Struthio camelus: one gene and its partner. The protein of the gene in region 1 interacts with the protein of each later gene in a biochemical or structural test. Links are inferred from orthologs where the notes say so. Each region holds a gene or a part of one and is shown on either strand. Other genes may lie near its edges.

The links.
Region 2: the proteins of LRRK1 (region 1) and BAG2 form a complex in vitro, tested with the Homo sapiens proteins (2 studies listed by BioGRID and IntAct, with this or other methods). The link is inferred for Struthio camelus from reciprocal best matches to the Homo sapiens genes LRRK1 and BAG2.

What each region holds. Positions count from the first base shown.
Region 1 is NC_090953.1:4,465,980-4,473,582, reverse strand, and holds the start of LRRK1 (leucine-rich repeat serine/threonine-protein kinase 1), read left to right. Parts: upstream 1-4,543; 5' UTR 4,544-4,733; intron 4,734-7,603.
Region 2 is NC_090944.1:36,126,623-36,134,114, reverse strand, and holds the start of BAG2 (BAG family molecular chaperone regulator 2), read right to left. Parts: upstream 3,042-7,492; 5' UTR 2,826-3,041; coding exon 2,677-2,825; intron 1-2,676. UniProt on the Homo sapiens protein: Co-chaperone for HSP70 and HSC70 chaperone proteins. Acts as a nucleotide-exchange factor (NEF) promoting the release of ADP from the HSP70 and HSC70 proteins thereby triggering client/substrate protein release.

The sequences.
Region 1 (7,603 bases):
TCTGTTTGAAAGAGCTATCTTGGTCTCTCTAAAGATACTTGCATCCCCCATATTGGTGATATTCTAGCCCTGAATGAGGTTTATGGAAGTTTCTTAGATGAATCCTTTGGGGCCAGTATTTCACCCAATGTAGCTAGACTTTAAAGTGTCCTATGAACTAGATGTTTTGCTGTACATGCATACACGTGCTGCACATGCAAGTTACTGACTTGCTAGCCCCTCTGGCTCCAAATGAGTCACAACGGTATCTCAAAGCTTCGCTATAGCACTTTCTGCAAGAGGATTTTGCACTGTACTTACCGTGATGACACAGAGTTGAATGCTAAGCATGTAGCATGGTAGATACCCCATGGAAAACATCCACGGCACACAGACCCAAGCCCGTCCTACTGATCTGAGGGCAGGGAGCAAAAGTGCTGCAAAAAGCTGTCTTGCTGTGTCTTGCTCTGTCACTTTCAGACTGTGTGGACATCTCATTTTTGAGCCAGAGCTAATTATGTGAGTAAAACTTACAAGTTATCCTCACTGCTTCTTTCTCCCTTACGAGTGTAGCTTAAAGTAGATTTCTGGAAGCACAGTATGAAAAGGCAGGTGCTCCTAAGCATATACTGAATGCTAAAGAGGTGGGTGTACAAACCAGTTACCGTGGAATAAGATGTGGCCAGACTTAAATGTGTCAGCAGCTCTGCAGCAATTGTCCCTGTGAGTCCTATCATCTTGTGGCAAACGGAGTAACTGGTCCTTCACTGAGGAATAAACTACCTTGCATTCCCTCGTTTACAGTTGTATAAGCATGCACACAAATAGCATCCATGGAGCGGCTGTCACACTAAGTTCATACCTTAGTATATCCTGCAGTTAACTTCTTTGCAGATGTTACTTACTGTGGGCTTAAGGAAAAGCCATATGCTGTCTTCAGTTCCTGGGTTTGCTACTTCCCTCACCCCTGATACTGTACTGAAGAACCACTGGCAAACCTACAGGAAGCTCCATGTCGATGCGGGCTGTAAGTACGTGGTAGGTAGTGGGGTCAGCTGAGTGGGAACTTTGGCTGATCCCTTTGGGTTCGTCCTCTAAGAGCAAACTGATGCATGTTCCTTAGTGAATTATCTACAGATCGCTATGGAGCACTGGTAAAGATCATTGCTGGGAGTTTTCCGGGTGTCAGGGCTTGAAGCAGAAATGCAGGTCTAGTCTGTAGTCCCTGAAGCAAGCAGGGATTTAACCAGTAATTTCCTCTGATCAGAGATGTACCCAGTCAGTACAAGTGCTGTTGCATGTGTGGACCTTTTTTGGAGGGGGAAGGAAGGTGGGTGGTGATGAGTAAGGAGAATGTTTGCATGGGCCTAAACTTCCTTATTAGTTAGTGAACATTGAAACTGCACTTCAACACTGCTTAATTTCTCAAATGACATACCTCCAACAATTGTGTACAGCTGAGTGCCTGTCTTCCGGTGGATATGTGAGACAGGGCTTCCACAGGTAAGTCTCCCCATCTGGTGAAGAAAATGTCCTGCCTACCCCATGAAAGGCCAAATGGGAAAACTGTAAATAAGCTTCTATTTTTGTAATACACTTAGAGTGCAAACATCTTCTCAGACAAACATTTTACTTTTGCCAAGTTGATGGTTTTCTAGGGCTGCAGTCAGACAACAGGGAGGCGAGGCAAATAGTAAAAGGCTGGTTATTTTGATGTAGCTTCTATATTCATTTTTGATAAACAGTGGTTGAAATGGAAATCATCTGGTACTCTTAAAATCCTAGTAGTCTGCCTTTATATGTATAATGTATATTTCACCTCTTTTTTTCCCCTATCAAGTTTAAAAAAAAAGTCAATGTATCTCTTATTGTATAAATCAGGGTTTGACTCTACACACTGAATTATCTAAGTTATATAACACTAGACACTAACTTTAAAGTAACCCCTTAGAGGGTATATATTCTTTCATTGCACAGTAAGGCTTTCATATGAAATACTACTTTTTAAAGAAAAGAACTATATTTATAAATTAGGATACAGTTAATCTAATGTATTTTTATAGTTAAAGGTACATGGAAATGCTATGTTTAAACCTCATGTATATATTTAGAATATGGGTATCTTTTTGTAATAGTTCTCTTGTTCCTAATAAATGTTTAACTTTGTGGTATAGTTTCTAAATACTGTATTCTGGTATTGCCTAGGAAGGATGACTGAAAGGGACACACTTCTACTGACTTTACTCGTTTTAACAGAGAAGTAACTGTAATCCTTTTTTATGTACGCTGATTAGTGCCTTAAGAAAATTCTGGCCCCTCTAACGCAAGTGTTAAGACCCCTTCCATCAGCGCCCCCCCCTTCCACTCGACTCAGTCCTCCTGTCTGTTTTTCATTTCATCTCTGAATTTGGCCCATTGCGACACTAAAAGCAAACACTGGAAAGGGTTAAGGTTTCATGCTTCTGAAACAAAATGGCCCTGTATTGCTCTAGTTGCAGGGGGCTCTTCTCAGAACAGCGCTCTGTCTGTTCCCCTCGAGTCAGTGAGCCAGCGGGATTCCCCAAACAGGAACGTGCCCTGGGCTCACAAGGGGCGATGTAACTTCAAGATACCTTCCGCACATCGCAGGACTGAATGCAGAGTGTGTTTGTGCATCTGTGGATGTGGGGATTCAGTATCTCACTGGGGGACTGAGAAGGAATCTGAACTTGAATTCACTTCTGCATTTTGTGAAGAATAGCCTATTTTAAAAAAGGCAAGGGAAGTAAAGGGCTGAAGTGTGGTCAGTGCTCTACAAACAAAAGCTAGAGCGTGTGTTTGTTAGCTTATTATCTAAGCAGTTGCTTTTGTTAAGTTGTGCCATTTCCAGTAAACGGGGTGGGGGAGGTGAGGGAGCAGGGTTGCAGCTGGCAGGGGCAAGCACAGCTTCTGCCAGTTTGAAGTAGGAGGGATCCTTCTCCCATTCTTGGGGTGAGCCTGAAAGGCAAGGGGCTGGGGACCACCCTGCCAGATGAGGCTCCTTGCCTCGGTCCGGCTTGCTAAACCCTGTGAGACGCATCCCTCACTCTCATGACTCTGCTCCACCCTGTCCCGTTCCTATCCAATTTCCCTCATCTGCCACGCGGACGGCAAGCGAGAACGCACTGATATCGTTGCCTTTCGTCCGGCATTCACTGCTCGCATCTGGTAACACGCGTGTGAGAAAAATACCAACCGCTGTCAGCTCCCTACCTAGGCCAAGCCAACCCCCTTGAGTTTTTCCTGCACTTGCAAACGGCATCGCTCAGAAGCTGTGACACTAAACATGGAAAAGGTGAAGGCTGGAGATGCAAAGAAATGATTGTGAGTGACATAATCGATGGAGGCATAAGCCAGGGAGCCTGGGATGAAATTTAGAAAGGAAAAAAAAAAACCAAGTTTTTTTAGCCTGACTGTCTGGAGAAATTCTCGTTCGGGGAAATGACAGTGTTTATCAAAATAAAGGCAAAACTAAGTGATGTTAGTGGTTTTTCAAACAATTGGGTGGAAAAGGCTGCAAGAAAGGTCTGGATAAGAGCCAGGCTGTGAGGCGTAAAAGACAGCAGCCCGGACAGAAGGGCGCCAGATGGGTAACACTGCTAGGGCTGCAGCTAGAAGCGGGGTTCACGGGCACTCGAACCCAAGTGAAAGCATCGACGAGGACCCATCCTCTCTGTCTATCTCCACAATCACAGCACGAGAACACCCTAGGACAAACCTCAAGACTAGTCAGAGGATGGATATGGCTACTCCCATCCTCAAGCGATCATCGGAGATCCCTTTCTTCTGTGGGGCCAAGGAAGAAAAAAGCTGTGTAGGTAATGTAAGGAGTCGTCACGAACAGTAAAATAAAGGGCACGCAAAAACGGTGTTCTCGTAGCTGGTCCAGTGGGTGGGGAAGAAAAAGCCCCATCAGGCTTGGGAGAGTTTCCTGGTAGCAGGAGATGAAGGGCTATGCGATGGGGAGCGCAGCGAGAGCGTAACGCCTGCAGAAGAGAGGGGGCAACCTTGCTTTGTTTTTCCAAAAAGCGGTAGGCTTCTTCCCCCAGCCGGGAGAGGAGCAGCTTGCAAAGACACAATCTGCGATTAACTCCGCTGGCGCTAGGGCCGGGCCTCAGCGGAGAAGCAGACCCAGAGAAGGGATCCGCGCGAGGGCCGAAGGCAGCGCCAAGAGCTCCGAGAAACATGCGGGACGCGACACGGGGGGCTGCGGTGACGGCGACGCCACCCGAGGGACCTGCTGGGGCTGAGAGACGCGGTCCTGCTTCCGACCCCGACAACTCCAGACAGACCTTTCCGGGGGGGGGGGAGGAGGGGAACAACACAAAACACAACAAAACCGAACCCCAATGGCGTGAGCCCGCGTAGCAGCCGCCCGAAGAGGGCAGCTCGCTGACGGGGTGAGCGCGTCCCGTCGCGCCGAGGAGCCGCAGGCAGCGGCCGACCGCGCCGCCGCCGCCGGGGCCGGCACAAGATGGAGCCCCGCAGCCCGGCCAGGGCCCGCGCGGAGGCCTCTGGGACGGCGGCGGCGGCCGTGGTGGGGCCCGCGGGCGGGCCCTGACCCCGCGCCGGCGGGCCCGGTGGCGGAGGAGGCGCCGCCGCGCTTCTGCCCCCGCTCCCTTTTCCTTCCTCCCTCCGCCTCCCGCGCCGCAGAGCGACGAGGCGGGCGGCCGGCGCCGGAGGAGGAGGAGGAGGAGGAGGCGGTGACGGCGGCGCAGGGACCCCGCAGGCAGGAGGTAGCGCGGGCGGCACCTGCCCCGCGCCGGGGCTGCGCTGAGGGGGCGCGGGGTGCGCCGGGCGGGCTGCGAAGGGCGGGGGGGGGGGCACCAAAAGGGTTTAAAAAAAAGGAAAAAAAGCAAAGAGTTTAGACGGAACTTGGGGGGAAGCGGGCGTGCTTGGGAGCCGGCGATGGGGGGAAAGGAAATACTTGCGAGGAGCCGTAAGGAAAAACTTCCTTTTATGTCCGGGCGCCGAGCGGCGGTGGCGGCGGCGGCGTGTAACGCGCAGCCCGTTGCCGCCTTCCTGCCGCCGCTGCCCGCCGAGCCACCCGGCTCCGCGCCCTCCCTCCTCCTCCTCCTCCGCAGCTCGAGGCCGCCCCGGCTCCCTCACGCCCTTCGCCAGGTGCTCGGCAGCGAGAAAACCCCGCGTTGGGGTTTTCTTTCGCCTCGTCGCCAGACGGGCGCGGGGGCCTCACGCCGGAGGACGAGCGGGAAGGGAGCTTGGCAGGCCGGGTCCGGTTTGGGAGCTTTCTGCAGCCGTTTCCCGCCCTCCCGAGGGCAAGGATGCTGTATGCCTCCTTCGCCGTCCGCCCTGTGGAGGAGGGAGCGGCGGTTCTTCTTCCGCGCGGAGCTGCCGAAGGCCGCGGCGCGGCTCGGAGGTTCGCCTAGCTGCCCCTAGCAGGGAGGTCCCCGCGCGAGGCGGTGGGTTACGCCGCCGTCAAACGGAGCGCTTCAGCCTCCAGGCGCGGCTTCGGCCCCGCGCCTCTCTCTCGACGGCGCAGGAACGAGCCCGCGGGCCGTCGGCGACGGCCTCGGCCGCCTGCTCCGGCGCGCGGCGTTGCCCCGCGCGTCTTAACGCAGCTCCTAAGGCTAAGTGGACCTCTCGAGAAAGAGTAGGTGGTTTGAGTAAAGGACTTGTTTCTGGAGGGTTTCCCCCGATTGGGAGGTGACCTCGGGTAAGCTGTGGCGTGTCTGGGTGCCTGACCGCGCTTCGATGCGCGTGCAGCAAGCCTGGCTTGGCTGGAGGAGCTGAGAGGAGGATCTCGAGATGGTACAGACACGGTCGGATATGCTGGGGAGCGCGCGGCGGGGACGCTCGGAGAGCAGCTTGGGTCCAGCTGTCCTTTTTCTGTTTGCATTCGGGACCACCTTACCTGCAGAGCCGCCCAGGGTGTGCACGCGTCCCACCGGGGCCTGGGCTGCCAGCCCTCCTCACCCGGACGATCTGCAGCTGGGGGTGACGAGCCAAGGAGTAACAGGAGCCTTAACTGAGCTCTGGGAAGTGCTCCACAATGAACGATGCTACCCGTGGAAAATATCTTCCTTAGAAAAGCAGACATTAACTTCTCTAGACGTTAGCTAAAAGCCAGCAATAATAGCGCCTCAGGAGAGAAATTGGGGCTGTGTGAAATGGGATGTAAATCAGCGTTGGGATGTATTCCTTCTCCGTCCCGCTCCTTCCAAATGGGCTGCCCAGCCTGTAGGATCCCAAGTAGTACGCTGTTTTTTCAGGAGTTCTCCGTCCCTAAATCAAATTTAAATGTTTTTTGCAGGTGTTACAGCTGAGCTCATATTGTTGGTAACTTTGGGTAAAAGCACTTCAGGGATGGTTTTTATTATCTAAACAAAGGTAGTGAAATACAGAGATGCACAGGCAGTACTCCTTGCAGGGGTGCTTTGTGGCAATAATACCTTTATGGTTCAGGCGTTTGGTGTGCTAGTCACAGTGAAAGGGGACTGGTTATCACAGATTCACAGCACGGTTGGGGTTGGAAGGGACCTCTGGAGATCATCTAGTCCAACTCGGGACAGGTTGTCTCTGGGCAACCTGTTCCAGTGCTCAGTCACCCTCACAGTGAAGAAGTTTTTCCTCATGTTCAGACGGAGCTGCCTGTGGTTCAGTTTGTACCCGTTACCAACGTCACTCCCATTATCTTTCCTGAAAGTTTTTTGCTTTCACTACGTATGAAGCTGGGTAGAAATCCTGAAATTGGGAGTGTTTTCAAACCTCCGTGGTGCATACTGACCCCAGTCCGGTATTTCTCCCACGATCGCTGCAGGTGTGCACAGCGTGCCCTAGCTGTACCGCGAGGGAAGGCCACGCAAAACCCAGCATCTGCCAAAAGAGCTATTCTGTTGGCCTTTGCATGGGGACATATTCTTTTTTACGGTACTTGCTCAGCGCATTTACAGTGAGGGTGCAGAGAGGGCAGCTGCCAGCGCTGGAAACATCATGTCCCCTCCGTTGTCAGGATAAACGGCCGGGGCAGCTTTTGGGCGGCACAAACAGCACAGTAGCAGTCTTATCTGTGCTCGAAAGGGTTACAGCCTCCCGTGAGACCTCCGTGGCACCTCCACGCTGTCCATCACGCCAGGGCTGTCCTGAGAGATGAGCCACTGCCGCCATTTTCCGTGACGGGGACAGAGAGAGGGATGCTCTGTTGCTGGCGTGCAGCGGGAGCTGCGGCCATCCGGCCCACCGAGGAGGAGGCGTTTGGCTGTGGGGTGCGTGCGAAAGGCTTGTGTGGAGTCTGATCCGGGCAGCTCAACCTGTGTTATTTGCAGCACCCACCTTTGAAAAGCACTCACCTTTTTTTCCTGCCTTTGAAAAGCACGAAAGAACCACAAACTGCAGCCGGTGGCTTCCTCCACATGCAGGAGGCAGGGGCGTGCGTGGGGCGGTTTGGTTCTCGCTGCTGGCCACCACAACGCAAGGGTCATCAGAAACTGAATTTTACCATACCTGCACCCAAAGCGCAGATGTTCGCCTAGAAACTACTGATAGAGGGTTGGGTGATTTGGTAACGTTGTCAGCTCGTTGTTAAAACCCTATTTAATGGGGGGAGAGCAGGAGGCTGCCTGGAGAGTGGTGATGGATGGGTGTATTT
Region 2 (7,492 bases), on another chromosome or scaffold:
TGCTTCCAACTGCTGCTGACATTTCTTGGCATTTGCGGGCAGCCAGGGCAACAGAAAGGGCCAAGCCTTTAGGAACAACACAAACGCTGAGCACAATACCACCTGCCCTGCACCGCCGCTTCGTGGGGTCGGACTAACTCCTTGAGAGCTACGCAGCTTCGTCCTGCACGACCATACCTCTGCCTCTGACCTTCATTTCAGTTCGCTACCTCCCACCTCTGGGAGCTTGTCCTCACAGCGAGTGAACGGGGAAACCATCCAGGGGTGAAGAATGACACGCTCAAACACTTCTGCAGTTCTGTTTCTCCACTACTGTTGTTCAAATCACAGCAGCAATTAATACGTTGTTCAAATATGTTTCTCCACTTACAAATAAAAGTCATACTTTGCTCCTCGTGACTGAGGGCAAATTAACCAAGCACTGATGTACAGAGAAAGAATGTTTGAGGGGATTTAGCCCCTCTCCAGTCACTGTCTCCAGGCTGTGAAATGCACGCTCCTGGTTATATGGCCACATACGTACGGCTATACTGGTATAGTGCTACCTCCTTCCCAGATAAGGGCTATGCCACTCCAATTACATTAATCCCCCTTTCCAGTGGGATTTAAATAAGAACTACTCTGCAAACACCTAGAGGGAGTCTACTACACACCCCTACAGTGGTGTACCAGCAGGTCAGCAGATATGGGACAAAAATACCTTGTTATCATTGGGAAAAAAGTTCTCGTGGTGGATGGGAACATAGACACGAGAAGGCTGTTTAAGATCAGAAAACTCAGGGAATGAGGGTTGCTGAGGGGTTCAGCCAAGCTTAAGCAACTTGACAAATGAGGAATGTAAAAGGGGTTAATTAAAGACTATAGTTCACTTTGACAAAATTTTCACTTATTATATTTACAAGTAACATCTCAAGGGACTATAGCTAAAATAAACACATTGGAGAAGAAGTATGGAAGCTCCTCCTCCTGCCATTCACATGGTTTTCAAATTAGGCACGCTGATTACTTACACATAAATAAAACACAAAAATAAACTTAATTGACTGTATTCAGAATAGTTTAACTCTTTTTGTAAGAGTTTTGCAGTTAGAAATGTGCCTCTTTGAAAGACCCAAAACAAACTGAAAACTTTAATTTTGGGTTTAATTTTTGCTTAACCACAGTGTCTGTTTTATTGCACTAAGTTGCTCAGCAGATGTAAAAAAAAACATTTTGGCATAGTTTTACTGCTTATTTAGCACAATATTTTGTAATTATATATTCACACACCGGATGAGGACGTCAGCAGTGAGACTAAAAGTTTGCAGACAGTGACTTTGGTTAGTCAAATCCAAAGAAGTCTGTGAAGAACTTCAAAGAGATTTAATCAACCTACGTGAAAGAATAATATGATTGCATTAATCAAGAGTGAACTTTATGTGCTAAGTAATGCGCATAGAAAAGGAAAAACATAAGTTCTGTATCTCACAGAGCTCTTAATTACAGCAACTTGGGAAAGACCTAGAAACATTATGGGTGGTTCTGCGAAAGCCTCTGATCAATATGCAGCTGTAATGAACAAAGGGTGTGTTGAAATTTCAATGCCATTAGGTGAATCAGTGGTACGCTCACATTACCGACTGGATCTATCCACCTCAGAAAAGACACTATAATTAAGAGAGAGCTGAGAAGACAAGGAAGTTGATCAAAGGCATGGAAACATCTCTTATACGACCAAACGGGAAAAAAATTTAAATAGGTTATTTGGGGAACGCTAAATAACAAGAGGAGGCAAGACGCGTCCTGACACAACAATGAAACACCGATCATATTCGGAATTAATTAAGAAACACACACACACACACACAATTAAGCTGCAGAATGGCTATTCCTGTCAGAGCTCAGGTATTTACTGGATTTCAGCAGGAAGGCCGGCACCGACCTGGGTAACAAGCGCCCGGACCGGCGAGGCAGCGGCGCTCCGGGGCGGTCTGAGCCCTCCCAGCGCTCGGCGGCGGCTCGGAGGCTGCTGCGAGGCACCGAGGCCCCAGCGACAGCGCCCGGCGCCGCCGGCTCTCCACGCCGCAGGGCGGCGGAGCGGCTTCGCGCAGCGAGCTCCGGGCTCGGCGGGGGAACACGCGGAAAAACAAAACAAAACAGGCTGCTTTGCGCCTTCCCTGACCAGCGTCCGGCCGCGCTAGTTCGCCTTCGAGCACCAACTGTCACTTTCAACCTTGGGGCGGGGGGGGGGGTCTTTTTTCCGGCACTGATGATTGCAGAAAGCGTCGCCTCCGCCGCCCCGAGCTGACCACCTGCCCCTCGGTCCGGGCCGCGGCCTCCCGGCGCCTCCCCGGCTCGCGAGGGGCGCCAACGGCTGCGGGGGGAGGGCGCAACGGCTCGCGAGGGGCGCCAACGGCTCGGGGGAGGGAGGGAGGAGGGGGCACAACGGTTCGTGAGGGGCGCCAACGGCTCGGGGCAGGGAGGGGCGCCAACGGCTCGCGGGGGGCGCCAACGGCTCGCCAGGAGGGAGGGGCGCAACGGTTCGCGGGGGGCGCCAACGGCTGCAACGCCGGCATCCTGAGGGGCCCCAGCCGGGTCCCGCGGCGGCGGGGACGGCCCGGCCCGGCCGGGGCTGCCGCCTCGGCTGGCCGCGCAGCCGGACGTCGCCACCCCGAGCGGCCCGCCACGGCCGCCTACCTGAGCTCCAGCTGGTCCAGGTTCTCGAGCAGGCGGCTGGAGCGGTCCGCCATGGAGGTGGAGCGGTAGAAGCGGCCGCGGAGCTGCCCGCCGGATTGCTGCTGCTGCGCCCCCTCGCTGGCTTTGGCGCTGATCTTGGCCTGGGCCATAGCACTCGCCGGCGGCTCCTCCGCGCGGCCGCTCCCTCCCCGCGTCCCGCAGGCGGCGGCGGCCGAATGCCGGCACCTCGCTCATGGCCAAAGAAGGAGCCCGCCCGCCGCCTGCCCCCGCGGCCACCCCGCCTCCGCGGCCGCAGAGGCGCCGCCTCACGCAGCGCGCCGCGGACCTCGCCTCACCTCGGCGGCCCCGCAGCGCCGCGGGCGGGCGCCCGCCCTCCCCGCCTCCCGGGCCCGCCCTGGCCCCCCGCAGGAGCCGGGCCGAGGGGAGGGGGCGTCTCGTCCCGGGAACCCCGGGGCGAGGAGCGTGTCGCACCCCTGGCCGGGTCCTGTTCCGTACATCGCGCATTCAGCAGAAACGCGGAGGCTATCGCATGCTGTAATTTATTGATGAATCAAGGAGCTACAGCTAAGTCACGAGTTTTAATTAAATCCGCAGAGAGAAAAGAGTTTTCCCTCCCGAAACCTAAACGCTGTCCTGCATGCCGTGCTGCACCGGTGTCTGAAAGCGTTGCCCAGTCACCACCTACGCTAGCACAGGGCAGTGCTGCCGAAGCCCTGCTTTTCCCCGACAGTTTTCCGCGGACTGGGGAGCCACTGCGGCCCCCCGACACAGCCCCGCCTTCCTTGGCTCTCGCTAAAGCAGAGCCCAAGGAAGGGTAAGGTTTTTAACACCTATATTAACCTGATCCTAGATGGTAGCCTAGATACCTAGATGGTATGAGGGTTTACTTTCCAAGACTATTGTATATGGTTGATCGGTTTGGTCTTTCTCTAATTAAATATATATATGTATATCAATCAAAAGAGACAGCTGGAAATACAAAGATGAAACTCCTGAAGGCGTAAAGAAGAAATGAGAAGAGGAAGGCTAGAAGTGCCTTGAAAATCCAGAAGCCTGTTTAAGGAGAAAAAAAGTGTTGATGAGAGTAAAGCACCCACAGCACTTGCTACAAGCAGAAACAGAACCTGAACAGCAGTCTTGAAAAAGATACTTAAGATACTTGCATCGATACAGTACATCTTTCTGACACTAAGTCATCTGGTTAGCCACAGAAGAGAAAACAGTTCTACTAAACGTTTTTGTCCAAGGTAATACAAAAAGGCTTACTAGAAAGAAAATTGTTTGTTTGTTTGTTTGTTTTTTGCTGTGCCAAAAGAAAAAAAAAACTTATTTTGTGATGGCAAAGGTAGTGGATCTACATTTTGTAATGACTTTTTCCACATCATATTTAACTTCTCTGTATAAACCAGATAACTTCTGTCTCACAAGAGCACATCATACTAACTTAGGAAACTTAAGCCACAGAAAGAAATCTTTTATACTTCTTGAACCTGTACTTCTGTACAGCAGATTCCTGTTGGCTCCAGCAATTCTTACTTGCCATTACTGTGATTATTTAAAAAGGAATTTGCTTATCCCTAATTTCACGTTTGGGCAAATACTGCAGTTCTCTAACAGACCAATTTTTGGCATCCAGTTAACAGGGTTTTTATTGCACAGGGATAACGTTTTGAATGCTTACTCTGGTTATAGCTATTTTCTCAGGCTTGTCCGTTCAAGATGATATCATGTCCCACTTCTCTTGCTAAATTAATTGTCTGAATTTTGTTTTTTTTTTACATGGCTGGGTAGGTAAGGATTATGGCTGTGAGCTCATAGAAATAATTTCATTGTTCAGCGATTGTTCAATCCATCTCACTATAGTTTATTCAGAAAATTATTAAAAACTACTTCCTACCCCCAAACATATACAAACAGAAACATGGGGACTAATGTGACACAAATTGCAAACTTTTTTCCTAGGATCCTTCTATTCCTCCCATGCTAATTTATGAAGTATTAATTAGGTCGTGTTTAAAAAGCAAAAACCAAAATTGCTACTAGCCAAATGGTTAGAAAGATTTTTTTTCCTTGTACAGGGTTTTAAATTTTTGAAGGTAGAATGTGCAATGAAATGAAGAGGCACAACGGTTGTTAGTTGTGTGCAGTTGTATCACACATGACTGTGTCTTTTTTGATGGCAAAACAGCATTTCATCCAGGAACTGAGAAGAGCTGAAACAGTGGAAGCAAAATGAGTTTCAAAAGCAGAAATAGTTGTTTGAAACAAACCTCACCCATCATTGCTGCCTGTGCAGTCGAGAATAAATTGCCATTTAAAAACTAGAAAGGATTGCAAAAACTGCTTTTCCTACCCAAGAGGGGGGTAGATTGCCCCTATTTTCCCTCAGGTGCTTTCTTCCTTGCCGAGATACATAAAGGAGCAGTTGTCACCACTTTTCCCGAAATAATAGGTGGCTGGGCTAGCAAGATGGTAGTCAAGTCTCTGGAGAAAGGAAGTGACTCACAGTTGAATTAGGACAAGAAGTTAGGGGACACAAAAGGCAAGAATTAGGTCCTTCAGGGCTGCAAGAAAACGGGAGGAGGAAGAGTAGCTCTGTCAGAAACAGCACGGATCTCATCCTCCTCCTTATGATTTGTGGCAAAGAAAGGTGATGTCTGGGTCAGGATTGCTGCTGCTGCGACAACCTCACTCTCCTAGTCTAGTCTGCAGCTATGTTCACCCGGCTGGATTGCACAGCCCTGCTCCAGCTGCAGGCACCCATGGGGAGATTGACATGGAGAAAGTATGCATCTCAGGCCTTCTGTACTGCAGGCTCAGCGACCAAGTAGCTGGCTGTCCCTCATTTAAATGGCGGTATCATAAAAGATGCACGCACCTTGCAGAACAGAGCGACTGGCAGAGAATCCGCATTCATGCGCACAAGATCTTTTATGGTAGCAAAAAGATATACCTTCCCAGGCCGTGGACACCTAAGACATTTGTAAAAGTCAGATGATCTACACCAAAAGCAGTACTACTTGTCACACTGCTAAATACCATCTTAGTTTCAGTTTCACCTTATTCCAAACCCCCCATACCTTGTGACATACCCTAACACTTACCTATGAGCTGCCATGGAATAGGATGTAAGAGAAAGTCCACACCCAAGAAACGCCATGTTGGATTCTTTTCTTCCCTTCTACAGGAACTTCATCTGGAGAATCTTCTTTGTACATAGGCATTGTGGAAACACAACTTCTGTACATACCATGAGGATGCAGCTGTGGTTTGGGCAGCCAACCACAGCTAGCATTCAGTCTCCCAAGCACAGTACAACAGCAGCAAAGACGGGCCAACATGAGTTTTAGGGTATGATTTTCTATCAAAAGCTGTACTTAGTATTATAGTAGACTGGCCCCTTAGCACCTGCCAAACTTGTGCTACTGTGTTGTTTCTGCTATTGTTACTAACGCTAATTAACACTAGCACTGTGTTTGCCCATCACGTTACCATCATCTTACTGTGCAGGCAAGCCCTGCACTCCCAAGGCTGTTGGAAGCCTCATTCCTCTATCTCAGAATCAATCTAAAAGCCAGTACGACCATTTCAGGGCATGGAGTAGTTCTTTTCCTCATGGAGAGGAAAATTGCTTAGCAAATGACCCAGTGAATTCTTTACAGCTGTGGATGCTAGGCAGCTTTTAGATAAGAGCTCTCAGCAAAAACCACTAGAAGACTCCCAGAAAGTAGTATATTGGAGTCAGTGAAAAGAAACTTGCACAGATTTACAAGGGGAACTTTACATTTAAATTTCTGCACACACAGAACTTTGTCATTTGGGCACAAACTTTGCACATACTTGCCACTTACTATGAATTTTCTGGCTTGTTTACACCCATGTTTACAGTATGTTGAATCATATTATTTGACCCACAATGTTAAAACTGAGCTCTAATTCTTGAATTAAAATTTCTGCAGAAAACTTGGGGGCAGTTTAGAATTGTCAAAGAAACACGCAAACGCAGATTTTAATAGTCTGCATTTAAGTCTTGCTACTTAACTGGAAAGAATTGCCAGAAAGGATTTTGCATTAATGTCAGCCAATTTTTCTAAATTATTGTAAAGACAATTCATCATCCATCCTTCTCACCTCCTTCCAACTTTCAGCAGTCATTGTAAACATTGTTAGGACAGCATAAGCACATGATAGAACACTTTCCTTTTAAGAAAGAATATGGCGTGACTTCATACCTCTATAAACTTAACCATATTTGGTAAAGATTCAGTAAAGGTTTGCATGTTACATAATATTTAGCAGATTGACCTACCACGGAGGTGTCTTAAGACTTAAATGATGTGACCACTATAGGTCCACTAGTAGTCATTTCTGTACATCTTGATGAGCTAAGAAAATTATTCCATCACCCAAATATATATCACTATGATGCAAGACAAGTAGTTCACAGTAAACCAATCTCATCCCTTTAAATTATTACATGTTTAGAAATTATTTTTAAACTCTACAAAAGCAACCAGGCAAGGATGAAGTTTTAGTGCTACAGTGACTTCTGCAACTGTTACACTGATTTGTTCAGCATCTCCTCTTTGAATACGATCAACAGAGAGATTCTGTTGGATCTAAAACAATACGGCACACAGAACTAAGCGACAAAGAGATAGGAACCTTGTACCGATCTGACTCATCATCATTTAACTTTTTTACAAGACTTCTGCATGCACTGTACAGAAAATTAGAACATTAAAATGAAAGAAAGTGGGTTGGTGGTGGTCAGGTAGAGTTAGAAAGCATGTTTCTTCTTTAAAGATAAATGTGA